Linked DNA regions of Lonchura striata. Each later gene encodes a partner of the first gene's protein in a complex. Links are inferred from orthologs where the notes say so. Each region holds a gene or a part of one and is shown on either strand. Other genes may lie near its edges.

Evidence for each region.
Region 2: the proteins of KCNQ1 (region 1) and KCNE3 are in contact, whole or in part, in a cryo-EM structure (PDB 6V01), measured with the Homo sapiens proteins. The link is inferred for Lonchura striata from reciprocal best matches to the Homo sapiens genes KCNQ1 and KCNE3. Residues at the interface, in NP_000209.2 of Homo sapiens: Arg116, Pro117, Thr118, Gly119, Trp120, Cys122, Phe123, His126, Phe127, Phe130, Leu134, Leu137, Ile138, Val141, Leu142, Ile145, Gln147, Tyr148, Arg181, Met238, Val241, Asp242, Gln244, Thr247, Lys362, Asn365, Ile368; in NP_005463.1 of Homo sapiens: Asp54, Asp55, Asn56, Ser57, Tyr58, Ile61, Met65, Phe68, Ala69, Val72, Gly73, Leu75, Ile76, Leu77, Tyr79, Thr80, Arg81, Ser82, Arg83, Val85, Lys87, Asp90.

The regions. Positions count from the first base shown.
Region 1 is NC_134608.1:47,138,416-47,153,612, forward strand, and holds the start of KCNQ1 (potassium voltage-gated channel subfamily KQT member 1), read left to right. Parts: upstream 1-6,782; coding exon 6,783-7,180; intron 7,181-15,197. UniProt on the Homo sapiens protein: Pore-forming subunit of the voltage-gated potassium (Kv) channel involved in the regulation of cardiomyocyte excitability and important in normal development and functions of myocardium, inner ear, stomach and colon.
Region 2 is NC_134604.1:19,174,870-19,189,784, reverse strand, and holds KCNE3 (potassium voltage-gated channel subfamily E member 3), read left to right. Parts: upstream 1-7,656; 5' UTR 7,657-7,836; intron 7,837-8,812; 5' UTR 8,813-8,824; coding exon 8,825-9,130; 3' UTR 9,131-9,645; downstream 9,646-14,915. Other genes in the region: LIPT2 (octanoyl-[acyl-carrier-protein]:protein N-octanoyltransferase LIPT2, mitochondrial), read left to right, coding at 4,775-5,252, 6,187-6,419. UniProt on the Homo sapiens protein: Ancillary protein that functions as a regulatory subunit of the voltage-gated potassium (Kv) channel complex composed of pore-forming and potassium-conducting alpha subunits and of regulatory beta subunits.

The DNA.
Region 1 (15,197 bases):
ACGGATTATTGTTTGAAAAACCTTTGATTCTCCCACAGAGTTAGCCTTAAATGCCTTGTGTTGCACATAACCTCCCACTGAAGTTTTCCAGTGAACCACCTGCAATTAAAGACATTCAGCTGCAGGTTTAACTGTCAGACAGATGATGCTTGACATCAAAAGTGGGTTGCCAAGTGGCTCCTGCTGAAGCAGAATGATTATCTGTCCCATGCCATTCCTTACACGTGAGGTAGGTTATTATATATTACGGATTAACGTGGTCACAGGCAGGAAGTGTTCCTGGACCAGGAAGAGATTTGGTGATAGCTAGTGATTTCTTTCTCAGCTGCTGAGAGTGAAACCCTTCCTGAAACACCAGGACATCCTTTCATTAAGAGAAGTCCTCTCCATAAGCAACCATTGGACAAAAATTTGGGGAGTGTTTCAGAATTTCAGTTAATTTATTTGGAGCTTGCTCAGTGGTGCTGATTTTAGTCTAACAAAGAGAAGGTTTGTGACTAACATGAGGAGGAGAATTTGCTTTTGATGCAAGAAAGTGATGTAACAATCTCTTCATTTGGAGAATGCTGTTAGTCACTCTGCCCTCAGACGTGCAGGTCTGTGTAAGAATGTGCACTCAAAAACCTGTGTGGCATTGTGTGAGCAAGCAAACATCTGCTGAGTCTCATGTGCTCCTGAAATTGAAATACACCTCCTCTGCCACAATAATAAAAATGAACCTCACAAGATGTCGTCAGCCTCTTTAGCTTTCTCTTTTGGAGTAATACCTAAAAGAATCCTTTTCAGTTACAAAAATTGCTGGAAAATTAACTACATTAAAGAACTCAGGAGAAAGGACTCTACAGGCAACTGCTGAAACAGACTAGAGAGGTTACCCATGCATGGATCTACAAGTGTGTCTGGAGCAAGATCTCCTAATGGTGTCCCCTCTTAGTTGTTTAAGGCTTTCACAAGGTCTAGATTTTTATTTTTCCTACTGCCACTTCGTTGAAGATTGCAAGTAGGTTGGTGACAGGAAGAAAATATTGAGAAGGATGTTTGCAAGTTGTGATGCACTAACACAGTTCAGTTACAATTCTAGCACCACTTCCTTATTTTCTTCTTAATGCCCATGAGACTTTCAAGGGCTCTGCCCTGAAGTCCTCTTCCTAAACAAGTAAAAACTTAGTGAATTCTTCAGACTCACACGTGGAAGATTTTGGTCAGCCAGAGAGCAAATAGAAAAAGCTAACATTGTAGAAAAAAATTTGATCTTTATTGACAGAAACCAAAATTCCAGTTGGCTGGTTCTAGCCTTTCATATAAATGAATGTTCCTTAACAAGAGAAATTAAGAGTCTATCAAGGTTTTTGCATCTCTCTTCTCACAGCTCTCAAGTGGATGGACAACAGGATGGGGATTGGGGGAGCAAAATCCCTCCCACTGTAACAAAGATCAGGTTCATGACTACCTGAGTAACCTGAGTGTACAGAAGTCCATGGGACCCATGAGATGCATCCCAGGGTCCTGAGGGAATTGGCTGACACAGTTGCCAAGCCCCTTTCTGTGATACCCAAATAGTCCTGGCTGTCAGGTGAAGTGTCATGTAGCTGGAAAAAGGGAAATATTGCACCCATCTTTAAAAAGAGTAGAAAGGAGGACACTGGGAGGACCTGTTTTCCTCACCTTTGTGCTTGGGAAGATCCTGGAACAGATCCTCATAAAAGCTCTGCTAAGGCACATGGGGAACAGGGAGGTGATTTGAGGTAGCCAGCACAGCTTCCCCCAGGGCTAATCCTGCCTGACCAACCTAATGGACTTCTCTGGTGGAATGCCTACATCAGTGGACAAGGCAAGGGATACAGGGATATCATTTGACATGAAGGAATGTCATTTAGCTGGATTTCTGTACAGTCTTTGGCATGGTCCTCCCAACATCCTTCTCTCTAAATTGGAGACTGATTGAATGGCTAAACTGTGAGGTGAATAAGGAATTGTCTGGATAGCTGTATCCAGAGGGTAGAGATCAAAGGCTCAGAGTTCCCATTTTGTTTGAAAACAAAACAGAAAGTGTTTGTGAGGCATAAGCCTAAATAAATATTGAGTCTTTCTTTGCTTTAGGACTTCAAACCTGAGCATAGGTAGACAGTAATATTCTTTCCCAGAACAGCACCAATATGATTTAAAATCCTACGAAACAATGTAAACACATCATAAAACCATAGCCATAACCATGCACTCAGATAGCATTCAAACAGATAATGCTAATCAGGGATGGCAGCAGGGCTGCATGGCCTCCATATGTCAGATATCTGGTGCATGCCACTCACTATCTCCTGCAGGGCTGCTCCTCTCTGCTGCCCAGATTCCTGAGCAGACTGCATCCACTGTTAAAAATAACCCAACAGTAAAGAAGGGAGGGAATTAAAGGACACTTTCAACTTTCTGAGTAGAATACTATCTGCTTTTTTCTGTCTGCTCCATCTGTCTTGAAAGTGACTGACAGGAAAGCAGTCTGCATAAACACCTGTTGGAAGTGTGTCTTTTTGTCAGTGATTAGTCTACTAAGGAAGTGATTAATTAATGTGGTCTCTGACTTATGAAATGTTGATAGTCAGTGTTTTGGGACATACTGCAGTTTTGAATACACTCTCTGTATCTGGAGTTTCTGCTGGTGTGCTAAGTTGTTTGACTAGCAATGCCTGCCAACAGGGAAAACCTGCTGGATTTACACATGGGAAGCATGGATGTATTCAAGAGCCTTTAGCAAAGATTTTGCTTAAATTTAAAGCCTGAAGTTAATTTGCATAAAGGCATACAAGTTGTATATTAATAGATTTAGATTAATTAAAAATAAAGGTATATGAGATTATCAAGGTGTCCAATGGAAAATGTCTACACGTACTTGGAAAATTGTTCTTAATTGAAATTTGATGAATGAATGAAAATATACATATATCTTTCCATCTCCCTAGTGAATTGGCTAAGCTGTAGTCTTCCCATGATTTAGAAAGTGAAGCAAACCCTTGTATCTCTTTCCCCTGCTTTTGTTTTGAATCTTAAGGCTGAGGTTTATTTATCTATCATGTTATTGTTGTGTTTTCAAACTGTTCTTTTTGTTTGAGGTATAAGTACTTAGTTATTTTATAGCTTTTAATGGGAATTTTTTAAAGTAATGACAAGTCTGTGAGCAGAATTTTTTAATTAATAGAGAGTATTTCAAAAGTTTTTGTCCTACCTCACTATATGAAAACATATAAACAATCTAGGACTTTATTCTTAGTTCAAATGACATTTACCTTCACCATTGACTGTGTTTTTATAATGATCTACTCACTCAATCCAAATGTGGATTCTCCAGGAAATGGAACACAACCAAATATTTACTCCACTCCAAGAAAAAGAGTTCAAAAATTGAGACAACACAACTCTCTCTTTTCTCTCCTTGAAAACTGTTATTTAACGTCTCCTACTGTAGCTGGGCAGAAATGGAAGTAGCATTAAAAAAATCCCCCAAACGTAATTCAAACAAAAACCATCCCACAAAGTAATCTAACAGCAAACAAGAAGATTCCCATGCTAGAGGAGAAGTGGTGAAACCTGTAATTGTAACGTAAGTGTTAAAGGCTTTCAGAAGACAAAGAATATTCAGACTGTTTGTTTGAGTCTTAACTTCCAAAGGGAAGAAATCAGGCAAAAGATCAAGGTGTCTCTAACTGGCTGCAGCAATTCCTGCCTGCAAACATTTGTCAGTGATTTAGCAGTGTGATCTTGCATGGTATTCTGGCGAGCACAGAGTCAAAATACAGCATGCCATGAGCATATCTGTCACTGCAGGCATAATACTGATCCATAACTTGGTACAGGATAACAGAGGCCCAGGATGCTACAGACATTTTTGATCAAAGAAGTCTTTAACTAATACTAGTCTTGATCTAATTAAATTGCTAGGATTGGGAGCTTTGCCATCACCTTCACTGTATTATCATCGTACTAGAGTGACTTATCTCAAGTTTATAATCATGGTCCTCTTAAAGACGTAAGGATTTAAAACAGTTCTTGCTAACTGTGAATTAAAATGTACTGGGTGTTACTCATTTCGCTGCAGTTCTGTAAATACTCAAAGTAGATTATTATTATTCTAAGAAACAATTCAGTATAGTAGTTCCACCTTAATATTTAAAACCCATGTCCTCTTTATTCAATGTATCTTCCTACCTTCTTCACTATCGAAGCCTAGATACCAAGCTCCATAAATATATTTGAACACTCATCTCCCTCCTCTTCCCATTTTTAACTCTTTCATATATACACCACACTCTCTTTTTTTTCTCTTCTTCCACTTACATAATTACATTGTTTTGTAAAATAAACATGATTAAAATCAAGATGTGGCAACTTAAGAAGGGGAAAAAAAGGGAATTTCCATTACCATGTTAAAATATGCATCTTGAAAATATATCAAAATAATATACAATTTTGGTAAATTAATATGCATTAAAGGTAATTATACCCTGGATTCTCATCCCTAAGTAGTCATTTATTTGAAACTTTTATTTAAGTATGCTCTTGCTTTCACCTGTGCCAGACATGTTTTACCATTCAGTATCTTGAACAAGCTGGCAATCATCTAACAATATGATTTTTGCTACATAAAATAAATGTTATCATTATCAGTAACACACTTAAAATGTAGATTTTGATTAACTCCTTGACTTTGGGAAAAGGCCTTTAGATATTACTTAAATACTAATTTCATATACTTTAAAATTGCTTTATTTGTGATGATTCTTTGAAAGATTTAGCCAACATTGGATTTCCAACCTAAAACCTTATGAAACTATTTCTGTCCTGAAAAACAACTCAATATATAAGGCTGTGGAATACATTTGAGACCTTTTTGTTTTGCAATAAAAAGTTTATTGAAAAAACCTTTGGTTCTTTGGAACAGTTTCTCACCGACCACTGAAGATCAAATTTATATCTTCCCAATTTTCTTCCTTGTTTAGCCATTTAAGTATATAATACCCCCTAACTTTTCTTTTGCAAGGAAATTGCATAGGTATTACAGAAATTCCATTTTCCTAGGTTCAAACAGAGTGAAGTTTCTATTCTGTTTTGTTAATCAATGGATAAATAATATTATGCCACATTATTTTTTAAAGATTTTGAAAAGTTTTATGAAGAATAACATCATTTACATATGAACATAGAGCCTCCTGTTTGGCTAACTCTCTGTTATATTTTGCAGTTGGCTCCAGAATAAGGCTCTGTATAACAATGTTATGTTAGTCTATAAAACAAAGTGGAACACTTACATAAAGAAACACATTTGTTAGCTTTAATATCAAGACTTTATCAGGCTGACCCTCCAACAGTGAGCGTTCAAGGGTAGTGATGACATTCTTTCTTCCATTAGCCATTTTTCTTGCAGGCTTGTTTCAAAAAAGAACAGTTCCTCAAAATAGAAAAACCAGACTCTATTTTGACCTGATGCAGGAAATTTTTCCTTTGAAATGCTGTTTTTATTAAGCTGTTTTTTTCTTCATGCTCTGGTGGAGGGGGGAAAAGCCTGCTTAGGATGTTGTTGGTTTAGAAACAAGTTTTGCAAAGTCTCATTTTAACACTTCAGGTTTTGTATTCCTAAGATGGAGCCAGATCCCTCATGGGTGTAAATAAATATAAGAGCTCACTGGTTTTTCTTGTTTACACTGGTGGATCTTGCCTGGTTCCCCTACAATTCTTGCAGCCTGACATTTGAATGGAACTGCAATTAGCAGGGTTGTTTTCGTTTAACTTTATTTAGCACCTTATCTCCCTGTAACATTCTTGTCCGGGTACCAGTATCAACCATGAACTCAACATAGCTCTTACTAGTGCTGTTCTATTTTGAGCTGGAAGAAAAAACCCACCAGTCCAGATCAAGGAGCACCTTTCCCTTCACTCTGGGAATAGAAATTTTTAACCGATTGGTGCAAAAAGCCACGACAAATTTATCCACAGTTATGGCAGTCCTAACTAACTCCATCACACGGGAAAGTTATCCAGGCCGTCAAAACTATCTGTTCTCAATAGCCAAACCTATGCAAATTTCCACAAAAGCCAAAATGCTACTGGTAGAGGAGGCAGTTCTGCAGGACTGTGTTTGCTGTGTTCTACCGTTTCCACAGTTCTTCAGCTAATCACTCCCTTTGGTTACAATATCATGAAGGACTGCACGACCCATTGTTTGAGCTCATAGTTTTTGTCACGCATTTTAAAAAGAGCCTCCTGGAAGATTCCTGCTCTGGCAGAGCCCTGCTGTTCCCAGGTGCTGAAATTCTGCAAAAAGAAGTGGAGCGTCCAGAAGGCTTTGGAGGTACTAAATCTGAAGTAAAGGGTTGTACCCCAAGATCTCAAGCCACACAATGCCACAGTTCTGGGAAGCAGCGGAATGGCCAAGGCGGCAGGAAAGTCTGCTGGGCTTCTGGGTTGCTGGAAGGCTGCTCCCTGCTCTCTGCCCTGGCAGCTGCTCACACAGGTGAGAGGCCAGCTCCACGCAGCCACAGCGGTGACAAGGCACAGGTGCTACAGCATTGAGGACAGCGACACGGAGATGCTCGCCGGTGCCGGGCACGGGGAGCGGGTGCCGCGGGCAGCGCCTCCCGCCGGGCCGCACCGGGACTGCTGCCGGGCCCGCCCCCGCTTGCCCGCACCTTTCCCGGCCGGAGCCGCCCCGCGGGGGCCGGGCCAGCGGTGTCGCGGCGGGACGGGGCGCCCGGCGCTGCCCGCAGCTCCCGGGGCACCGCCGCGCCGCCCCAGCCATGTCCTCCAGCTCCCCGCCGGGCGAGCCCAAGAGCCGCAGCCTGGGCCGGCTGTCGCTGCCCAGGAGAGGCAGCATGACGCCGGGCAAGAAGGCGGCGGCGCTGGAGCTGGCCGAGAGCGCCCCGAACGCCCACTACGCCCCGCTGGCGGCCGCGCAGGGCGGGCAGGCGCCCGCGGGATGCGGCCCCGCGGCGGAGCGGGAGCGGGCGCCGCGCCTGCGGAGCGAGGTGGTGGTGGTGAGCGCCGACTGCCCGCGGCCCCCCGTCAGCCTGGACCCCCGCGTCTCCATCTACAGCCTCCGCAAGCCCCTGCTGAGCCGCAGCAGCGTCCAGGGCAGGGTCTACAACTTCTTGGAGCGGCCCACGGGATGGAAGTGCTTCGTGTACCACTTCACCGTGTGAGTACCGCGCCGGGCACCTGCTCCGCGCTCCCGTTACCGCCGCTGGAGCGCTGCCCCGGCCGTGCCTCAGCCGCACCCTGCCGAGCCCCCTCCCCATGCCCCGCACGCCGCTCCTCGGGAACGGAGCCTTCCAGACCAGCCCGGTGCTCCGGGCTTGAACATCGTGCGGATGTGGTCCTCTGGGCTATGGGTGGCTTGCTTTTTTTTTTTTTTTTTTTCCCTGCAGGTGTGAAGTAAAACAGAAATCACCCTCCAGGGGAAAGTTTGCCTTTTTAGTTAAGAGAAATGCTGTATCTCAGTTCATGAGCCGTTAGGTGTATCTATCAGATAGTGGAGGAGAGGGTTTCAGGCAATTTTCTTCAGAAGGCTACCCAGGGAGTTGGAATAAATTGTTCACACCTGGTTTCAATCAGTGACACCTGTGTGATGCCGATGCTCACTGCATAGCAGCAGTTTCTAATTGAACAGGTGCAACTGAACAGGTGCTCTCAATTATCAGCGCTGCAGTCTTGTCAGAGGAGGATGAGAAACAGGTGATGCTCCTTTTGCTTGCCTCTTTTGTTACCCCGGCTCTACCTCCTTGTGCCGTCCATTACGGTAGGAAGGAGGTGGTGTTTGGAGGGTGCTGTTGAGCCGCAGGTAGGTTGAAAGTTGCTTTCTCTGTTGTACTGTCTGTAGAGTGCAGTGTCAAACCCCAGCCTGCAAGTGGTAGGTCTGTGGTGCAGAAGCATCCCAACAGGTGTCTCTGGGAGGAATCAGCTTTTCCATCGAGGTGTTGCAGAAGGCTCGTGTGACCCTTGGGCAGTTGGTGTGTGTTAAATGTAGGTGAGAAGGTCAGGTAGGAACATGGTGTGTGTTTATTGTATTCATGCACAAATATATGTGTGTGTGTTTATATCCACTACATGTGTACATGCTTATTCCAGCAGTTAGAGTTAAATATATTTTGTGGTCAAAATCCTAAGACAAAAAATACCAGAGTCAGTTTTTATGACTTTGCTATTATATTCTGATTTTAAGTCCTATTTCTAAGTGACTGTTTTCTAAAGTCAGTTTAGGACTTTGTTCTTCTGTTCCACGCTTGAGGATTCTGGAGTGTTTAGGTCAACAGGTTAAGTGGTACCAACTTTATTGTAGTGGAGGGGAAACGGCTGTCATCTGAGTGTATATAATTGGGAGATGACGGGGTACAACTGCTGAGATAATTGTGGGCTCCATTCTCTTTAGCCTTATGATAATGCCATAAGATGAGAAAATGAGTAATGACCATAATTATGAAGTGCCTAATAGTTGTCATTGAACAATGTAAAATACTTGGGAATTGGAGCCTCCCTCCCCCCCTCCCCCCTTTTTTGTTCCCTTAAAAAGCAGGTTTAGGTAGCTATATTTTATGGTTTCTGACCTTTCAGGTGTCTCAAATTTTGTTTAGATGGTGCAGCAAACTGTTTTCAGTATCTTCTCTGAATCTTAACAGCAAGTCTAGGAAAACTCTGAAAAGCAAAAACCAAGCTTATAGTCCTTTGACTACTTAAGCTTCTAGCCTGAATTATAATTTATTTTTTTTTTTTGCAAGTATTTGCAGTGTGGATTAATCCTGTTTGCGCAAGAATTAAGATTCTGTAATATGTGTAAGTCATTATGTATCTTCCCCCCAACACACACCCAGGTGTAAGCATTAGCCCCAACTTTTCCCTTCTTTCCAGAGCTCTTCTGATGCAATGATGAATGACAGTGGCAGTAAATATTCTCAAGCCTCTTACCAAGCATTGCTTGAATTCCTTAGGGTGTTGAAGAGACAGAAGAGGGTATTGACACCCTTGTACGTTTCTCACAAGGCAACTTGCAAGTACCATTTAGGCAGCCTAACTCCGATTCCTACCAGCAGAGGGAATTGAGGCTTTACTGTTTTCAGCCCAGCTTTTTTTTTTTTTTTTTTTTTTTTTTGTTAAGCTTTTTGTGCCCATTAAATCATGGTTTAAGTTACTGGTTTTTGGTCCATACTTCTCCAGCTCTTTCTGAGCTCCCAAAGCAACTTTCTACTGTGCCAAGGAATGCTCTGGAGTACAATCCCTGCCAGCCAGGTGCAGAGTATTGGTAGATGAACAGTTGCCACACAGCTGAAGTGTGTCACTAAAATTAACCGACGAGGCAGATTTGTCTGATTCAGAGAAGCTGCTGTGCACCAGCATCTGCTCGGGAGGAGGCACGGGACCTGCTTTGGGTAGACAGGTGGGTACAAGGGATGAGGTGCAGAGCTGTAAAGCACGTGGAGTCATGAGAGACACACAGAGGCGAGCATGTGCTCCTTCCCACTGGAGGAAGTACTTGATTGTTCTGTTGTCAGCATACAAACAATCATTCATAGAATGCTAAGCCTGGTTTTACCTTGGGGTGTGCAAAGACCCTGGTGTTAGTCTTTCCTGCCCAAACTAGTTTAAGAAACTGAATTAATTTTGCCTGTTGTCTTTTTACTCCCTCTGTGGTCCTGCCTCTACTTTATTCTGGGGGCTTTCAGCTGCCTGGGAGGTCTTGGTCACTGTCCTAAATGTTTAGAGGAGAAAGAGAGGAAACGGGAGTGGTGTTAAATCAGGACATAAAGACCTAAGCTTAGTAGAGAGCCTTGGCCAAGATCTAACCTAGTGATGGGAGCAATAACCACTGAAGGCTTAATTTTTTGTTGTCTGCGTGGTGTGGAGTGTGTAGCTGTGTTCTTAATTATAAGCTGTAATTATTACAGTCAGAAACAACTCCTGGAATAGACCATGTAACTTGCTCTGGACCTGTATCTCTGGCTGGTTGTTAAAACACTATTTATCAAGTGATAAGAGCTACATCTACTGATTGCCTGTCACACCCTTTTCCTGCTCAGGAATTTTAGTCAGTGGTATGTAGAATACTAGTAACAAAGAACTGATACTCAGGATTGATTTTCCTTGATTTTATATTACATTGTTTAGAAAAGGGAAGTTGAACACCAAGCTTTAATCCACAGATTCTAGGTTGTTATGTTTGTTTCATATTGTTTTCATTGCTGCATGTCTGGTGAGCAGCAAAGGGCCCTTATGTGCCCTTGACTTAAAGGATGGAAAATCTGGCTGTCTTGCATAGGTCAGGCCATGACCTGTTTTCTTCTGAATTATTTCTTTCATAATGTGTCAGAAATATCTGTTTTTCACTATGCAAAATGTATCTTCTCTCTAGATTGATATTTTCAATCTCTGGGGTAATTTGACATGCCAGTCTGTGATTAAATCAATTTAATTTGAGACAGGTCTTTTCTAAGAATTTTTCTTATTTGCTTAGACCAAAGTGAGCAGAATAGGGAATGAATTATTATGCCTCATTTATACTCGATTTTTGAAGGCTGGGGACATAGTCTCTGTGGGAGGAAGGAATGGCTAATCAGCCATTAATTCACCATTCAGACCTGCCTGAAGGTACTAGTGGAGATGACAGAACCTCTTAGTTGAGCTACTTGACTTGGTTTGATTTTGTAATAAGTTTCATGTAAATAGATGACATATACAGTATACAAACACCTGATTTTACCAGGGCAAGTAAATTGTGCTTGTTGGCTGAGGATCTACTTGCATGGCTTCTGCAAACACAGTTGGTGATTGCTTGGAGACTTGGGCTTTGCAAGCAAGAGCTTTCCTTTTGGGGTGGCTGTATTGGTGGCAATGTCCTGCCAGGGCCACCAAATCTGCCTTGGCTGTCAGAGCGAGGGAATGACTGAGTGCCACGTTCTCAGTGACCTTCCAGGCTAGGGCATCTTATCACACTTATCATAGCAGTGCACCTTGAGAGAGCAGCTTTGAGAGGTGAAATGTTCTGCAACCTGAATGAATCAAATTTTCAGCCTCTATGACCAGAGGTGGAAAGAGAAACTCTGCCCTCATAGTGGCCTGCTGAAACTCTTGGGTACTGCCCCATAGTTGGAAATGACTGTACTGAACAAGTGAAGCTGTTAGATGCTAAAAAGAATTATTTTAGATTTAGGTGCTCAGGGAAGAGGTTCTTCTCACCCTCTTAATTTTAAAATAAACGTCTTAAAATATGCCTAGAGAAACTGAAGTTACGAACTGATTTCTCTTGTTCTTGGTGTGGCAAATAATGACTTCTGGCAGCGTTGACTCCCTGTGTTCTTTGAAGTGTTGGCTGTAACCAGAAGGAACAATTTAGAAACTGATGGACCGTTGGTTTGTTCTATTGTGGCAGCTCTCCTTTGTTGCCATGCAAGGTAATCAGCTTCTATCTTATCTTTGCATGCCTGTACCTGGTTCAATTTACATTGCCTTTGTATAAGTTTGGTTTAATCAGCAATGATTGTCATTGAGTTTGTTGAATCTCAGGTTGTTTACATAAGCTTGGACTGGCCAGTGGTTGGGGTTTGGAAAACTGGTCTCTGGAAACAGGCAGACTCTTAGCAGCCTGGCTGCATGTGTGTGCACACAGAGCTAGGAAGTGAGGGTAGATAGAATATTCCAGTTATCTGAATCAGGACTCGCAGTAATCAATTATTAAAGGCAATGCAGTGTTTACACTGTGCTCTTTACATACATTACATCTTGAAGAAAAAAGCCTAACTCTAATTTAAAATCCCATTCTTGCCCTGTTTCTAGATGTACTGCAAACATACTTCCAAACCTACTGGTTTATACTTGTTGTGTAAAATGTTGAGGAGGAAAAAGGGTCCATAAACAATTAGTGTGTGCACATGCTCACACATGACTTTTTTTATCCCAACTTAAGAATGGTGCAAACTGAAATGCTGTGGACATGAACATTTGTATGTTTAGAGATTTTTATGGCTTGAAATCAGACTTACAGATTATTACTTCTGTTAAAAAAATAAAAAAAAGGGGTGTAAGTCCTCCAAAGTAAGCATGGCTTTTCCAAGTGGAAAGAAAGAAATGTGGCTTGATCAGAGTCATATCCCTTTTGCTGCTGCCAATAGCAGGAAAACCCAGGTTTAGCTTTTTTTGTCTCATCAAGACTGAGGTAGTTTAGTTGAGGCCAGTTTGCAGCAGAGCAGACACCTTTGCAACCAAACACTATGTATCTGTTACCATGCTTGGTAAAGTTTTATCTGAGAGGAAAATGTATTGGAAAGCTGATTTTAAGTATTCCAAGAGAGGAGGGAAGACCATTTGTTTGCCCCACATAAGAAAGTGTGCTCACATTTAGGAGTTGCTGCTGCAGAGGCACCCCTGTTTGCTGATCAGCCTGATGTTGAAGCTTGGGCTCTTGGCAGATTTTTGGAGGCAGGTGAGACTGAGAAGTGGCTTAAAGGTTTTGTTGTTCCCTCCTTAATCTCTGCATGCTGCAGTGCAGCCCCTTAGCTGCAATATTGCAAGAACTTTGGGACTCTGTAATTGAAATAGTATTTTTTGGGTTGGCCAGTACAGAGCTTCCTCCCCTTGCCCTGTTTCCCAATTTGTAACCTGTCAGAAGTTTAATTTTTGCTGTGGGCTGTCTGGCTGTCTTGTGGCTGAGACCAGTCCAAGTTTGTGCCGTGGAAAGCTGAAGTGTCAGTCTAGTTACAGATCAGAAGGGGTCCCCATTTCTCTCTCCCAGTGGGACAGCAGAAGTTGTTAGGTTAAGAAATACAGGTACAAATAACTATGTAACTGACTAAAAAAAAAAAAAAAAAAAATCCATGCTTACTTAGTAATTGACAGGCATCAGACAGAAAAGCAGTATGAAAAACCAAATCCTCTCAATGCCAACACTAGTAGATAATGCCTGGAAGCCACTTTGATGAAATCACCAGCTTTGCATTATTTGTTGCATTCTGTGATTGCTGCATGAAAATTATTGTGGAAATGTATTTTGATTGTTGTAGGGGAAGGAATGTAGGGAAAATCTAGGTGTCTTCTAGTTAAATTACCTTTTGAAGACACCTCTAGCAATAATTGGGAAAATAGTTTCTGTTGTGGCATGCACAGTGGGATACTGTTGGCTACTTGAAAAAAAAATTCACTGGGTCAAAGAAGTTTTGTGGGGACTTTTTTTTTTTGTAATGATGGATGTTTAGGTTTCCTAAAAACAAATGGAAGCAGAAGACTGTAAACTGGCAAAAACAAATGCTCAGTGAAGACAGGTTGTGTGCAGTGGAGAAATAAAGAACTGTGAAATGCACACATAGAAGATATTAATTTTTTCAGTTTGGGCAGGCTTTCCTGGAATAGGCCTTCTCTCTTTTCCCATCATCCTTCCAGTATGACATTTCAAGTCCTTCTCTCATGTTTGCTTTCCTCCAGGAAAAGAATTATCCTACCTTTAAAAGTTGCACATGAATGATCTTAAAAAAGCCAGTAAGTGCAGTATTCACATTTCTGTGTCTCTGTCAAATGTTCGGTTGGGCAATCCTGGCACACTTCCTTGCCCTGGCTCCTCGAGTGCCAGGGAAAAAACATGCAGGCCTGTGTAGATAGGCCTCTTTCAAAACTTCTATTGCAGCTGAATCAAGGCTAGAGTTGAGATTCAGTTGCAGTGAACTAATTAGGCTAGGCTCCAAATGCCTGAGTGCTGGATGTGTTACAAACAACGGTGCCAACATATGCTGCAGGGAGCTATGCACAGGCATAGTGCTTAGCTGACTTCAAACTTGGCACTACCTCATTAATTTGGTGTGTTAATAGATTGTTTAATGTGCATTAGTGGCTGAGCACAAAAGCTGTGAACACTTGCTCATTCAGTTCCAGATGGAAAATAGTGTCTTGTTGGGGGCAAGGTGTTTTCTGCCTGCCAACAAGAGGTCCAGCATGTTTCAAATGTCTTGGAGAGCTGCCAGATGCAAATAAACCTGGTGGGGAGGCTGAGTTTCAGCAGGATGCCTGGACTGGTGAGTTTTTAGGTGGGGTTCTAAGCCTCCTCGTGCAGTCATGCTTCATCTGGCATAATGGCCTGTGAGAACCATTATAATACCAGGCATGGTAATGGGAGAGCACAGGCATTTGCAAGGCTCTGCCACAGGAGTAGTTGATGTATGGAGTTCTTATCTCCTACCAGGAAGATATGTATGTGAGAGTATATTTATATCTCTGTATATAATAAGTAGGAGTACTCAATGCTCTAGTAATCACATCTAATATTAATTTTACTATATGATTTTGGATAGCTTTTTTTTTGCACCCTTTTTCTTTTCTTTTTTAATAGAAAGTTCTAAAGCTACTCTCAACAAGGAGTCTTCTGTGGCTTCCAGGCTGTGCATACCTGGAGAACTAGAGAGCTTTTCCTTTGTCTGATGTGACCAATTTTTGAGGCTATATAGACTTCTTTTTTTTCTTACTCTGTGCTACAGAATACTAACATAACAGCTATTTTCTGTGTTCAAGGAGCTGTAAGAAGTTGCACACAGTTCAAAGCAGGGCCTGAGTAATTGTATTAGTGTAAGTAGTTAAAAATATCAAGAAACATCACCTAAACCAAATCAAAACCCCCAAAACAACAACAAAAGTCCACAAACCCCAAAAATACTGTCCCACATTTTCTCAATGGTAGTTTCCTGCCTTAACCACATATTATAACAGAAAATGTGACACCTGGAAACATTACAATAGAACATAGACACAGGGGAAGCTCATGTTTTATTAAAACTTAGTACAACCACCACGGCAAAAGCCAGGTTTTTTTTCTCTGGACTGTTTTAGTGTCAGAACTTCCAGTTGTGTGAGATAATGAGAACTCATTTGCTCAAAACTGACTGAATCCTTTCTTAAAGGATTCAGTTAAAGGAAAAAAATGTCTGGTACTTTTTGCAAGGAATACATTAAGCACCAAGTCTGCAGCCTTGGAATTTTATAATTTTGAAAGCAATAAACTTCCAAAAATAGGAAATTATACTGCAGGTTGTTCAGTGTTAAATATTCCTAGCAAAGTGCCCAGTGTAGGTGTTTTTATTTTATCTCATATGTTCTTCACAATCACTGTGATGATTCAATATTTTATGAAAAATGTTAACCAAAGTCAGAATAAACCTAGGCCAGGGCTTCTGGATCCTTTTAGGTTT
Region 2 (14,915 bases), on another chromosome or scaffold:
GATGTGGGATCTGCATCTGCACTCACTCAGACCTGCTTTCTACTCTGAGGGAGCTATGTGGGCACAGATTGAAATGAAAGGTTCGGACTGGACATAACAAGTTATTAGAATCACAGAAGGGGATTGGAATGGGCCCAAACGACCATCCTGTTCCACTCCCCAGCCATGGGCATGGACACCTTCCACTAGACCAGGCTGCTCCTGATCTCCGTGGTGAAATATTTTGAGATCTCTTAATGTAGGCTTGCTTCATTGTCTTTCTTCCTCAGTTGTGCCAGCTCTGAAGCTTCAGTGCCAGCTCCTCTGAGGTGTGAAAGGCAGAGTCAACAAGGCACAAAAAAGGCTCCAAAAGAGCCAAGTTTCTGAAGGACGCACCGACAAGCAGGGCTGGCTCCTCGGTGACGGAGCTGCAGAGGAGCCTCTGAGCAACCTCTGTCCTCACCTTGTCAGGCTGTGTGGAAGTGCCCTGGGATTTGTAATTAGGCACAGTTTGAGACTGGGCTCTACAGTGATTTATACCAAGAATTTTGAGTCCCTTGGAGCCCTCCAGGCCCTGCAAGGGCTCTGAGCTCTCCCTGGAGCCTTCTCCTCTCCAGGTGAGCACCCCCAGCTCTCCCAGCCTGGCTCCAGCCCTCAGAGCATCCCCATGGCCTCCTCTGGGCTCTCTCCAGCAGCTCCATGTTCTGCTGCTGTGTCCCCAGGGGTGGGGCAGCTCTGCAGGTGGGGTCTCACCTCGACATTTCTCTGGTGTTCCCTAAGAACTGCCATCCCTCCCCTGAGCCCTTCAGGAGCATCTTTGCCACAAGCAGTGCTGTGATGGGTGTGTGACCTATCAGTGGTGATTTTGGCTGGTTGGAGTGGTGCTGTCTTCGCAGATGGCAGGGTGACCCCTGGGAGGGGCTCTGGCCAGCTACTGGGCACCTTTCAACAGTGTTGATGAAGGACAAACAACACATCTGAGCTTCCCAAGTGGGAGTGCCAGCTCCTGGGAAGCTCAGAGGAGCGTAAGGCCTGCCGTGTTTGCTCCAAGATGAGCCAAAAAATGACGACTGCCCAGAGAAGTGCAATCAGCACAGAAACACCGGCTCTGACCCGTCTGCCCAGGCCATCAAGGAGCTTCCTTAAGTACTTCCTTACTGCACCCCTGGGGCACAGCCTGTGGTGTGTTTCCCTGCTTTCCTTCCCCTTTGGCACAGCCTTGGGAACGTGCTGCTTTGAGTCAATGAAGGGAACAGGCTGGGGGCAGAGCAGCCCTGCCTGTGGGACACAGACCCCCAGATCCTGCCCAAACAAACCGGGGATCTCAGCCCCAGCCCTTCCCCCCCAGCCTTCCCAGGGAAAGGTGTGTAATATATGATTTAGAATAGATTTGTGCTCAGGACTAAAAAATACAGTATCCTTTTAAATGGAACCACGTGATGGGAAAGAGCAATATACACAGGATGAATTCCTGTCTCAAAAGATGGTTATTCTGAAGGATTATTCTAGAAGATATGCCTTGAATGCTAAGATGAATATTCGTTGCCAGAACAAGATATTCGGGGGGATTACTGTCTAAGAGGATTTCAGCAATGAGAGTATTCTAGGAAAGCCTCTGTTTAGAAGCACCACAAAAAAAGAACATGCATGAATATGTGAAAAAGGACAAAAGGAAACAGGAGAACCACCCCAGAATCCTGTTAACTCTAGAAACAGTATAAAAAAGACCATGTGAAATCAGTACCCCGTGAACTGCCAGGGTATGGTGCTGCATTAGTCCGGACCCAGTTCACCCAGCACCGAATGCCTGGCTCGGCGCTGATTTGCTTCTGGCTTTCCCAATTTTACTTCTATTTGATTTAATAAATTCCTTTAATTATTAAATTGACTGATTCATTTATAACAGGTGCATTCCAGAATGAAATGTTTGTCCTTCCTAGTAAGGTGGCTGGTGCTTGTAGAGCCTGAGTAAGTCAAGATGTTGCCTTTTGCCTCTGCCTGTAGCTCTCCATGAGCTGTGACAGCCCCTCTTGCCAGGCACCTGTTTCACAGCCACCACCTCTGCCCTCCCCTCAGCTTCCTGCTATTAAGCCCCGACTTGCATTGGCCCTAAAGCTCAGAGGGAGGCTCTCCTGCCAGAAAAAAATCAGACTCTGTCCTTCAATGAATTGGTGAGGACTGCACAGGCTCTGCTTGTGTTTACGGCACCCAGAGGAGAAGGTACAACGGGACAGCAAATCATGGACACAACAAAACCCCCAGTGTGCTGTAGAAACGCCCCAGCCCTGGCAGAAGAATAAAAGGTGAGCCATCCGCAGCCCCTTCCATCCCGTTTCCGCCTGGCTGAAAAGCAGGATGTGGACAGTAAATTGGGCAGCAACGATGCACGCCAGTGGCGTGGTGCTGACGAGGGTCCCAGTCCTGTGACACATGGCTCCATGTCCTGCCAGCCAGACAGGAAGAGCCCTGGGCTTTGATCTCCAGGAGAGAACTGGGGGCTTAACCATAAAAACAAGAAAATAACTTGCTGCACACACACTGTTGGTGCAAAATATGAGTCTCTCCTGCCAAGGCAGAGACCTAGAGCTGCTCTCCAGGAGATGATCTCACTCCAAGTGGGATCTTCAGGCTGGGTGCTGTTCAGTTCCTGGTGAGGTTTATGGTGATTTTCTTCCCCCCATTTTTTCTCCTTCATTGAGAAAACAGCCTAACAAAGGGAAGCACCTGTCCTTACTTGCAATAACACAGAAGTCGACCTTGTCAGCCGACGTCTGAGTTACCTGTGGCACCTGTGGTGACAAAGGGCAAATGACTACCGAGGTGTGTTTGTGATAAAAGCAAGAGCTCAGTAACACAGTGACTGCTCCATAAAACCAGGACATACTTTCACACAACTAACCCGGTCGATAAGCTGCAAGGGCTGCAGGCTGGGAACAGTTTGCTCAGGCTTTAATGGTTGACTCATTAGTGGTTCAATTTGTCTATTTTTTACATTGGGAATAAGAAGCTGAGGTAGGAACACTTCCTCTTTCACTGTCCCAGGGTGAAGAACTGCAACTCTCACCAGCACCTCAGCAATACAAGAACTTTATTTACAGGGCACAACCTTGAGGTGCTAGCACAGAATCATACAAAGAGAAGTGGTTGGAAGGGAGTTTAAAGCTCATCCTGTTCCACCCCCTGCCATGGGCAGGGACACCCTCCAGTACATCAGGTTGCTCAAGGCCTTATCCAACCTGACCTGGAACACCTCCAAGGTTGGAGCATCCACAACTGTCCTAATTTTACCCCAGAATCCTGATTTTAGCCCACTTTGAGCAGGCCTGTGATTGCCCAGCAGCACAGGATGTCCTGTACACGTTCCCTGCCCTTGCCCCCTTCCTGTTCCCCACCCTAGTGCCCCATGTCCCACACCCTGTAGTGAAAGGGGCTGCCCTGTCTCTCCTCCCTGTTATGTGTAGTAGATATAATTCACACCATTTCTAGTATGGTATATGTGATATTGAATATTTGTTGGAGTATACACGTTTGTATTAGGAGTCCCCCCTACCCTCACAGGCGAAACCTGGTTTATGTTGAAACCTGATTTACAAGTAAAAGGATGTGGCTCATCAGGAGATGGGCCATATCTGAAGCAATATGGGACGTCCAGGTGACCTGAGACGATATAATGGAAATCCTCCATACAGGTACATGTGAATGCAGGGTTCCCATAATTTTCCTCAAGGGATTCACCAACTCCAGACATCAAATTGTTCTACCTCCTCACCAAGAAAAGAAATCTCATCAAACTATGGGACTCCTAATAGAAGAAAGGACTGATTGCCAAAATCTTGGCCTCAGGCAGAATTTTCCCTATAAAAAAGCATTTGTACCAGATTGGTGCTGTGTGGGTATAGAGGAAAACCTCTGCTGAGGCTGACTTCTTTGTTGCACACCCAGTGCTGACCCCGGGCTCGGCACTGTTCTTTCCTTGTGGCTGGCTAGATAGAATCTGATTGCAAAAGAAATATTTTATTTTTTCATTTTAATTTGGCTGGACAATTTTTCATTTATAACATCCCTGTGCCCCTCCTGCAGCCCCGGCCCTATCAGCCACCTGCAGGCCCGTGACCTCCTCCTCCCTATGCCTTATTCCCTGTCCCCCATCTCTCAGCCTTGTTCCTAGGCACTAGCCCCCATCCCCAACCTCCTAAACCCTGTCTCCAATCCCCCACCGCAGGCCATATTCCCGGCCCCCTCCTTAGGGCCATGTCCCATGTCCATAGGCCCTGCTCCCCTCCCTAACGCCCATCCTCTGTCCTGCTGTTTCCTCCGCCCTGTCCTCCATGTCCCCATTCACCATGTCTGTGCCCCGTCCCCCATCCTCCGCCCCTGCAGTCCTGTTCTCCACCCTGTCGCCGTGCCCTACCCACGTCCGCCATCCACGTCCCCCATCCACTTCTGTCCCCTCCCTGCCCCTGTCCCCAACACTGTCTCCCGGCGGCCAGGCTCCGGTCCCCATCCCGCATGGAGCCCGTCCACATGACTCTGTCCACATGACTCTGCTGTCCCTATCTTCGCCTCCCGTTCCATCCCCGCCTCTCGCTCCTACCCCGCCTCCTTCTTCCGTTCCCGTCCCCGTTGCTTTTCCGTGTCCCCGTATCCGTTGTCCGTCTCCGTGGCCCAGCCCGTGCCCCTGTCCCCGTCCCCGTCCCCTGGCTGGCGCCCCGGCGCGGCCCGGTTCGCTGTTGTGCGCTCGCCCCGCCCGTCGGCCCCGGCGGTGTCCCGGCCGTGTCCCCGCTGTGTCCCCGCCATGTCGCGGCGGGCGGTGCGGGTGCTGCGGCTGGGCGCGGTGCCGTACGCGGAGGCGCTGCGGGTGCAGGAGCGCTGCGTGGCGGCGGCGCGGGCGGCGCGGGGCCCGGCGGCGGGCCGGGGCGGCGCGGAGGCGCTGCCGGCGGAGAGCGTGGTGCTGAGCGAGCCGGCGCAGCCCGTGTATACCTGGGGGCTGCGGGGCGCGCCGGGCGCGGCGGCGGCCGCGGCGCTGCGGGCGCGGGGCGCGGCGCTGGTGGCGGCGCGGCGCGGCGGCCACATCACTTTCCACGGCCCGGGGCAGCTGCTCGCCTTCCCCGTGCTCGACCTGCGCCGCCGCCGCCTCCCGCTCCGTGCCTACGTGGCCGGGCTGGAGGCTCTGGTGCTGCGGCTCTGCCGCCGCCTCGGGCTGGGCGCAGTCCGCGCCCTCCCGCCGCCCTTCACCGGGGTCTGGATGGGCGACAGCAAGCTCTGCGCCATCGGTGAGCGGAGACGGCGCCGGGAGCGCGGGTGTGTCCGTGGAGCCGCACTGAAGAGCCGGCGGTGTTCCACGTGCGGAACGGAAGGCTCCAGGGAGAGCTCAGAGCCCTTTCCAGGGCCCTAAGGGGGCTCCAAGAGAGCTGGAGAGGGGCTGGGGACAAGGGGGAACGGCTTCCCACTGCCAGAGGGCAGGGTTAGATGGGATGTTGGGAAGCAATTCTTCCCTGTAAAGGTGCTAAGGCCCTGGCACAGATTGCCTAGAGCAGCTGTGGCTGCCCCTGGATCCCTGGAAGTGCCCAATGCCAAATTGGACATTAGTGCTTGGAGCATCCTGGGACGGTGGGAGGTGTGCCTGCCCATGGAACATCTTCCAGCCCAACCCATCCTGGCACTGCCTGGGCACCGGGGCAGAGCACTGCAGGAAACTGCCCTGGACCTGTAGGCACCTGAGAGGGTGGGTGTGCACAGGGGTGGGATTGGCCTCCAGGAGGAGGGGGCAGCAAAATTTGGAGCCCCTGCAGCCCACCCAGACCCCGACACTTTGCACGTGTCGCTCCCAGGGCTGGCTGGCTGCCTGCAGGCCAGTCCCCAGCCTTGCCCCCTTCCCTTGCACCCCTCCACATCCTGTACCCCTTCCTGGGACCCTGCAGCCTGGATTTTGGATCCTGCAGGTCTCCCCATATCCGAGCCCATTGGAAACTCCAGCGGTGGGAGGTGCTGGGGGATGCAGGGCTGGGGTGGAGGGTCTGGACATGCTGCGCTCCATCTGCCCCATGTTTGGGGAGCCTGTCTGTGCGTTTTCCCTGGCAGAACCGAGGAGCACAGCGTGGTAGGGGGAGGATGTTTATAGTGATCTGGACAGCGTGGTCACTCAGTCTGTCCCACCAGGGCATCCCTGGTGATGGGGCTGATGGGTGGGTGCTCTTGGCCATGCAGGTGTGCACTGCGGGAACCACATCACCTCGCATGGGCTGGCGCTGAACTGCTGCACCGACCTCTCCTGGTTTGAGCACATCGTCCCCTGCGGGCTGGAGGGCAAGGGCGTCACTTCGCTGAGCCACGAGCTGGGGCAGCATGTCGCCGTCGGCAACGTCATCGAGCCCTTCCTCGACTCCTTCCAGGAGGTGTTTGACTGCACTTTGGTCTCTTCAGAAGACCCCGGGGATTAGAATTGTTGTGATGCCTTGGCCGGGTGTTTTGGCAAAGCCATGGTGCAGCCAGTGGGCATCAGGGCAGTGCCGGGGTCTCTGTTGTGAGATGAGTTCTTGTGCCTTTGCCTGTAGACTGTGATTGGACTTTGGCACAGGGTTTCAGGCTGCTGCTCGATGATCCAAACCTCCCCTGGGGCTGTTCTCTCCAGCCCTGTGAGTCTCCATCTTTTGGCTGAAACTTCCATGGGTACCACTTTCTGGGGAAGTACTCAAACAGGTGCTTTTGTGGGGTTTTTTTCTGCTTTTTGCCTCACAACAATTAAAGATTTGTGTGAATGCTCATGAATTCACATGAATTCTCATGAATTCACATGAATTTGTGTGGCTTGAGCATCCTTCCCTTGCTGACGGGTAAGAAGAGGCAGATTTTATATATAAAGACAGTTGCTGTGAATTTTGGCTGCCAATCCTTTTCTCATTTATTTACCCCAAGACTTTATCAGTGACAGCCTTTTTCTCACCCTGAGCCCAGGGAAATCCTCACATGGCAAAATCCTGGTGCCAGGGAGGGTGGAAAATGGCTGTAAACACTGGTGGAAAGGCCACTGGAGTGCTGCGGATGCAGTGGAAAAGGGGGAGAAGGAGGGAAAAGGGTTGGAAGGAGAGAAGCCACAGCTGTCATGGATCCTGTGGGACCACACAACATTCCAGCTGAGCAGTGGAGACCTGCTCCCACGAGGTCTGTGGTGCTGGAGGAGGTGCTGCTGTCAGCACTTCTGAAATTGCTGTCCCAGCTGCGGCATCATAAGCTGATTTAATGGACGGGTTTATTGAGGGGGGAGAAGTCAGCCTGAGGCTGGAGTACCCACACCCTGCTCAGAGTAAGACCTGACTCCCACCCAGAGCCCCTCACTGCTGTTCTGGGCCTTCTCCCTGCCCCACAAGCTTTGGGGTTTCTCTGCTGCTGCACAGCACTGGCAGCTCCTTGTGAGCCCCCCTTAGTGCCCAGTGGGGCTGAAAAAGGGGGAAATCCCATTTCACAGAGCAGGCTGAGCTCCAGGAGGGAACGGGGAGCAGGAAGAACATGCCCAGGAAGGCTCTGTGCCAAGGGTGAGGGCTCGGGGACTGCGGTGCCGGACGAGGAGGGACAGGAAAGCGTGACCGTCAGCGTGTGCTGGGGAAGTGTGGAGGGAGCCCCGCTCTGCCGCCCCACAAAGTCCCGGTGTCTGGCTGGGGCGAGGGGCCCTGGCAGCACCCATGGGGCTGGGGGTGGGCCGGTGGCCATGACGGGGCTGGCTGGCTGTGGCAGGTGGCTCTGCCCGGGAAGGGGAGGAGGCTGGCAGCGTTCCCAGCCTGGCTGGCATCCCTCCCCACCAGCAGCGATGCTCAGTCCCGGCTCAGCCTGGCAGCAACGCGAGCAGAGAGGACACACGAGGTGAGTACGAACCCCTCTTCCCACACCCTGTCGCCCGCTCCTCTCCCTGTCCTTGCACCCTCCCTAAGGTGGGTCCCCCCAAGGCGTGCCCCATCTGTGGGTCCCCTCCTGGGATAAACCCAGATCTTGCCCCAAACCTCCCAAATTCAGCCTACTTCTCTTAAGTCAGGAATGTAGCAAGATCCGACGTCATCCCTGTGGGCTCGTGGCTGCTCAGCCCCTTCTTCCTCCTCTTCCTCCTCCTTGCAACTGGGGTCTCATCCTGGGAGGTGCCCCCCAAGTTGAGGGTGACCCATTTGGGATCAGCTGCCTCTGCACAAGTAGAGCTGCAGGTGCAGCAGGCAAGGGGTGCTGGGGAGCTGCTGGGGGCAGGCTGGATACCTGGGGGGACTACAGTGGGGACTGGCATGTCCCAAAGGATGGCACACGTGGGAGACTGTGTCCCATGTGCCTGTCCCGGGGCCCCAGGAAGTTGTGAAGGTGCACAAGGGAGCCCAGGGGGCTGGCAGAGGGGCACCATGCCAAAGGTCAGAGTGGGTCTGGTACCCAAAGGGAAGGGAAATCCCCGGGGAGGTTTAGAGCAGCAACCCCTCAAGATGGGTTCACATCGATCTGTGGGGGGCTGTGCCAGCTCTGCACCCTGCAGTGGGGCAGGGTATGTGCCCACCATCCCCACACATCCCTGGGGAAAGCAGACTTTGGACCCAGCCCTCCTGCTCCCTGGGGACAGCTGTGTCCTCACATTGTCCCCAGTGGTGGGGAGGAGAGAGGGCCAGGCAGCTGCCCCAGAGCCCTGGGAGATTTATCTCTTCCATGGAAGGACTGAAATTTAGGGAGAGGGCTGCTGGGAATGCAAAGGGTTTGGCCACCCTGCTTTGTGGCAGAGGAAGTGCTTCAAGGGGCAGTTTGGGGTCAGTGCTGGGAACACCTCTGCTGTGAGGGCAGCCCCGTCTGAGCCCCCTGTCCTTCCCCGCAGCCTGCAGAGGACATGGATGAGAACAACCGCACTTTGGAGTCTTGGCACCAAAGCCTGCAGGCAGTGCTGAACGCCCTGAACCAGACGCTGCATGGGACCATCCCCTGCTCTGGCGAGGCCCTGGCTGGCGCGGCAGGAGCCACACGTGGTGGCCACACCGGCCGCAACGCCAACGCCTACATGTACATCCTGTTCGTCATGACGCTCTTCGCCGCCACCGTGGGCAGCCTCATCCTGGGCTACACCCGCTCCCGCAAGGTGGACAAGCGCAGTGACCCCTACCACGTCTACATCAAGAACAGGGTCTCCATGATCTGAGCCTGGCCCATACCTTGTCCCCAGGGTGGCTTGGGGTCACCTTGCTGTGCACATCTGGCTCGCTGTGGGATGTGGCAGTGCTGCTGGCTCCAGAGCTGCTGGGAACCCCGTAGAGCTGCTGAGAATCCCCCGAAGCTGCTGAGAACCCCCAGAGCTGCTGGAACCCCCACCATGGAGGAGCTCAGTCCTGGTGTGAGCAGTGCCGGGATGTCCTGGAAGAATGTGACCTGTAAGCAGGTCCTGGTCCTGCAGACCCACCTCAGCTCCACCATGGGCGTGGGGCTGGCAGGGGCAGCTCCTTTCCCACTGTGGCCTGCGGGGGCTGGCAGGAGGCGTCAAGGAGAATATTTCCCTATTTCCCTACTCAGATCAGCTGGTGTTGACCTCCCTGGGCTCCTAGCAGCTGTGACAGTGGTTTTAGGGAGTTTTTCTGGTGCTGAAACCCTGTAATGTTTGAGCTGGGCTGTGTCCTGCTTTTCTGGCAGGGAATTAAAGGAGGTGGTGGGTTCAGGGAACTTGTGTTTGCTTCTCCTCCGAGCAAAGCTGGTGTCTGGGGCAATCCATGAGGCACGGCTCTACGCCAGAGTCCAGGGGATGCTGAAAGGGCTAAACCTGCTGACTGTGTGCTGCCAAGGTGGGTTCAAGGGTAGCCCTTGGGTGGCATCACAGCCTCCAGATGGGACAAATCCCCGGGATGGAGCAAGCCCCGCACTCCCAGCTGGCCATGTGTCCGTGCTGCTGTGCGGGCAGCACTGCTGGAGCTGTGGGCACGCTGTGAGCGTGGCCCGAGCCCGGCCAGAGGCGTGTGGCTCCAAGCATCTCCCAAGACCTCTTCAGGCTCCGGATGGTGATGCTGGACTCTTTCCTGCTTCCTTCCTGCTGTCAGCTGTAGCTTTGGCCTTTTGTACCGCAGGTCCCAAATGTGTTTTCCATGGGGTGAGGGTGCAGCAGGGGACGGGAAGGGATGTTCTTGGGTCCTGCTGGCCTCCTTGGCTTTGACTCTGCTGTTAAGCTGGTCGGGTTTGGACCTGGCCTGTGGAGTGGCCAGTGTCCAGGACAGTAAATGACCCTGTCCTTCAAAACAGGCTGTGGGGCAGCGCCAGTGTCTCGCACGTCTTAACCTGTTGGTAATGGCATAATGAATGTCTTTAATTGCAGCTAGATTAGCTGGCCCATAGGGGCCTTTCCGCCTGCATTCCAAGGTTAAACACAGTTGCAATCCTGAGCCCAAACACTGACGCCAAACCCTAATCCAAAAAATAATAGTGGATGTGAGTGTGTTTGGGGTAGGGCTGGAAACCTTGGCACTGGAGGCACCAGCACAGCAGCAGCCTAGCGACCGATTCCTGGTTTGCCGTGCCTTTGGCTTGGGAACAAAGCCTGGAGCAGGGGGGAATGGGAAGCCCATTTTGGGGTTGGTCCCACTGCATTTCCTGAGCCAGTCAAGGCTTTCTGGGGTGCAGGTGTCCTCCGGCACCTGGCCCAAGCGGGAAGTAGCTCCAGAGGCTTTGCTCTGTTTATCTAGCACCTGCAACCTTGGGAAAGGAAAACAAACCTTTATCTGCAAATAAACCAGGGGAATGGGGCCAGGCAGGGACAGAGACATGCTGTGCTGATCCTTTTCCTCCTCCTCCCCTGGGTTTGTCCTCCTCCAACACCAGCCCCTCCTGTGGGATGAGCCGTGCAACAGCCAGGGCCGGGATGTGGGAGGACCCGGCGATGGGATGGGGGCTGGATGATGAGCATGGTCCCCCAAAATCCCCCCTGGGATGTGGAATTCTTGCTTTTCCCACTTTTGGGAGAGAGGGATGAATCCAGTGACTCTGAAATCTCTTCTGATGCTGTGACCCAAGGGGAAAAACCCTGTTGCCCTGTTGAAGGATAGCATGTCATAAAAATTTGGGGGGGGTGGGGGGGGGGAGGGGAGGGAAATGCTGTTTATCCCTAATCTGGAAGATTCTGAGGGTGAAAATCTGTCCTGCAAGACACAGCTTCTGCAGCAATGGTTACCCACCCGACCTGCGACCCACTGGCAGCTCCAATGTCCGCCCAGCCCTGCCGGTAAATTCGGAGCAGAGCCTGCGGCGGAGCAGGGCAGGGCAGGGCAGGGCAGGGCAGGGCAGGGGGGACGCCCCAGGTGCTCCCACCCTGGAATGGCCGGCTGGATGCCACCAGGCTGGGTTACAAGATGCCAGTGCCACCTTGTGGCAGCTGCCTCAGGGTCCTGGTGTCACATGCCCAGGACACCCCTGGGGCAAGAGCAAGGACTTGTATTGGCGGGACCTCTGGCTGTCCTTGTCCCTATGGCTCCCTCAGCTCCAGCCTGGCCGGTGTCCCCATGGGATCCACGGTCTGGGGTAGCCTGACAAACCTCCTCAGCAGTGGATAGTGCTGGGCTGCTCCGAGGGCTATGGAAGCAGGGATACATGAAAGAAGGATGGATTTGGGAGTCCCCTGGAATGGGTTTGCTTCTGGAGCCAGGGGAAGGATTTTGCAACTCTTTAGATGCTCATGCGAGAGCTCAGAGATTCTTCCTTGGAGCCAATGGGTTCTGGCCTCACCTCCCTGGGCTAACGCTCCCTGGGTAACACTCACAGAGCTTTTGTTAGCAGCAAGGAGATGCTCTCAGCATGCAGAGAGAAGAGCTGGGAGTGTGCCGGTCCTGGCTGAATCCCTAAATCCAACTCAGCAAACTGTAGCTGGCTACATTTGGATTTTAAGCAATGCAGCTGGGAAAAAACATAAGGCTCCTGGGAGGCCAGTTTATTGAAGACATTTTTTGCTGGCACACAGCAACGGATCATGGGTGAGACGGCATCTGGTGCTTGGAAAAGGATATGAAAACATGTAGGAAGTTTGGGCTGACCTTGGCTTAGCGGATCAACGGCTAGATTGTTGGGGCAGCGGGAATCACAGGAACCCGTTCCCAGGGCTGCTTTGATGCTGGGCGTTCTGATAATGAAGGCACAAGGTGAAATGAGAGCAGCCCAGGGTGAGAGCAGTGAATGCTGGGCAGGTTGCCTCGGGTTGTGCTGGTTTGGAATGGGTGGCACAGCCTGGCTGAGCAGTGGGAAGCTGTGTTCCCGGGGAGCTGCTCCTCCAGGAGAGCTGGCAGAGCTCCGTGGGAGTGCTGTGTTCAGATGGAGCAGCCAGGGAAGAGCTGCTCTCCCCTCAGCAGTGCTGAGCCAGGCTCACATCACCAGGGCTGCTGTGCAGCATGAGGGACAGAGGGGTCACGATGGGGAAGGTTGATTTTGGGAATCCAGGAATGGTGAAGGGACCTGCTTCTGCCCTTCCTTTTTGGGACCAGAGCAGAGGTTTTTCTAGTGGCTCTGAGCTGCACGTTACAAACTGCTTTTAGAGCATACTTAGAGTGTTATGTTTCTGAGGAAGCTAAGGAGTGTGCTGCCAGTGCCAGAGGGTGTGGGATTAGGCCTTCCCAAAGCTGACATCATGAAGCATCGAGCCAGGGGCAGTTGCAGAATTTCAAAAGCCATTTCCTCATGCCAGTACTCCCTGTTGTGTCCTTCCCACCTGCCAGCCTGGGCTTTGTCTCCATGCTCTGTCTGCAGAGCACCTGCCCTCCTTCAGGACAAAGCCCTTCTGCTGCCACCCCAGATCTGCTTAAAACTGGTCATTCCAACCCCAAAAGGCACCTGTGCCCCTGCCCTGTGGTGGCAGGGATGTCCTCGCTGCCTGTCTGCAGCACTCCACTCTCTTCCCTTCAATGTGCAGTTCTGGGAGGGAAGGGAAAGCGGGGAGGTGCTGTGTCATTATCAGGGAGCCTGAGAGGCCTGGGAGAACAAGCAGGGTGTTCAGGAGATATAAATAATAAAATTATAAACCGAAAATCGTGCCCAGTGCTGAGAGGCTCACCCATCACCAGCTGCAGGAGCACACGGGGGTCATCCTGCATGGCCCCAGCTCTCTGCAGAAACCGGGAGTGGAAAAGCAGCTGGAATGGCATGGGAGCTCTGGGCTGCTTGGCCACGATGTGGAATAAACAGAATAAACGGTGCAAATAACCATGGAAACACTGCTCCCACTGGCCTCTGGTAGCTGGGAGATCATGGGGCTGCTCCCGTTTGTTGTGCACAAGGGTTTGGGCTGTGGAACCAGATCCCTGAGGATGCTAATGGGATGGGACGGATGCTTCTGGTCCTTCTGGTGGGCTGATCCCCCAGCGTGGGCAGCTGGGGAGGGGATTCTGCCCCTCTGTCCTGTGCCCAGGTGAGATCCCACCTGCAAAGCTGCTCCAGCCCTGGGACACAGCAGGAGGAGCTGGAGCTGCTGGAGAGAGCCCAGAAAAGGCACCAGGATGATCAGAGGGATGGAGCTTCTCTGCTGTGTGGAAAGGCTGAGATTGTTTAGCCCAGACTGGAGAAGCTCCAGGGTGACCCAATTGTGGCCTTCCATCACCTGAAAGGAACCTACACAAAAGACAGAGAGACTTTTTACAAGGGTTCAGGACAAGTCTGTCTCAAACTGACAGAGAATTGATCTAGATGAGGGATGAGGAGGAAATTCTTTGCCCAGAGAAGCTGCCCCATCCCTGGCAATACTCAAGAGTAGGCTGCATGGGGCTTGGAGCAGCCTGGGCAAGTGGGAGGTGTCTCTGCCATGGCAGGGCAGGGACTAGAATAGATCCAGTCCCAGATGTGCCCCTGGGTTTCCCCTGACAGGGCTTTCCCTGGCTGCAGGACAATGTCTGCATGGTGCCATGTCCCTGTGTGACGCTCCTGCTCCCTTTAGCCCAGGAGAAGCCATTCCCTCCTGCTGAGCCCTGCCACACTCTCCACTGGCCCTGGCAGCTCCTAGCACATGAACTGGTGGCTGGCAGCAGCCTGGCAACCCTTCTTCTGGTAGCCTGGCTCCCATCCATGGCTGGCAGCCTGGTCTGCCGGTCCCTGGGCTGTCACTGCTGCTCCCTTGGCATGCGGTGCCTCAGCGGGGCGGAACGAGGCGTGAGGGGGAAAACAGAGAAACCTCGGCTTTCCTTCCCCCACAGGCTGATTGCCGATGAACTGGCTTATTTTCCACCACCGTGAGAACTGGAAAATGCTGCTTCTAGCAACAGATGAGAAGAGGTGTTTGTGCTGGCGGGCGTGGGATCCCCTGGAGCGCTGCGCTGGACTCCCGCACGCTCGTGCCAGCAGATGGGACTGGGCTGAACTTTCCTGGAGCAAGATAATCAGCTTTAAAAATTCTTCTGGAGCCTGATTAACCCTCAAATGTACAGGATTTAGTTGTCATCTCGCATCTCCATCAGTGGATCTAAGCTGTATCACTGTAATCTTTTTCCGTGATTGCCCTGCTCTGGAGCTGCTTGGAGCATCTGCCACGGGCTGCCTCGAAGCTAGAGATCCCATCCTTCTCACAGGGACACATTTGGGAACTAATCACCACTTCCCAATGTCGGGAGCACTGGTGAGATCCTGGGAAGTATCAAACCCTCTGTGCTGCAGTTATTCCTGGCAAGGAAATCACTTCTATCCCGCATGAGACTATTTTGTTCAGGGGAGTAATCATGGAGGAGCACTGACATCGGAGAGAATAATTTTCCACCTTCCATCCAGTTTTGGAGGAAACCCAAGGTCTTGTGGGCTGGAGCTCCTGTTATCCTGGGCTCTGGTCTTCTCCCTTGAAGACAAAACATGAGGAGGAGATAAGATCAGCAAAAGCATGCAAAGCACTGAGCTCTGGAGAAATGTGCCAGGGACTTGGTTCTTATCAGACCTGTGGGCTCAGGATGGCATCAGTGCTGCTGCAGATGCTGCCAGATGTA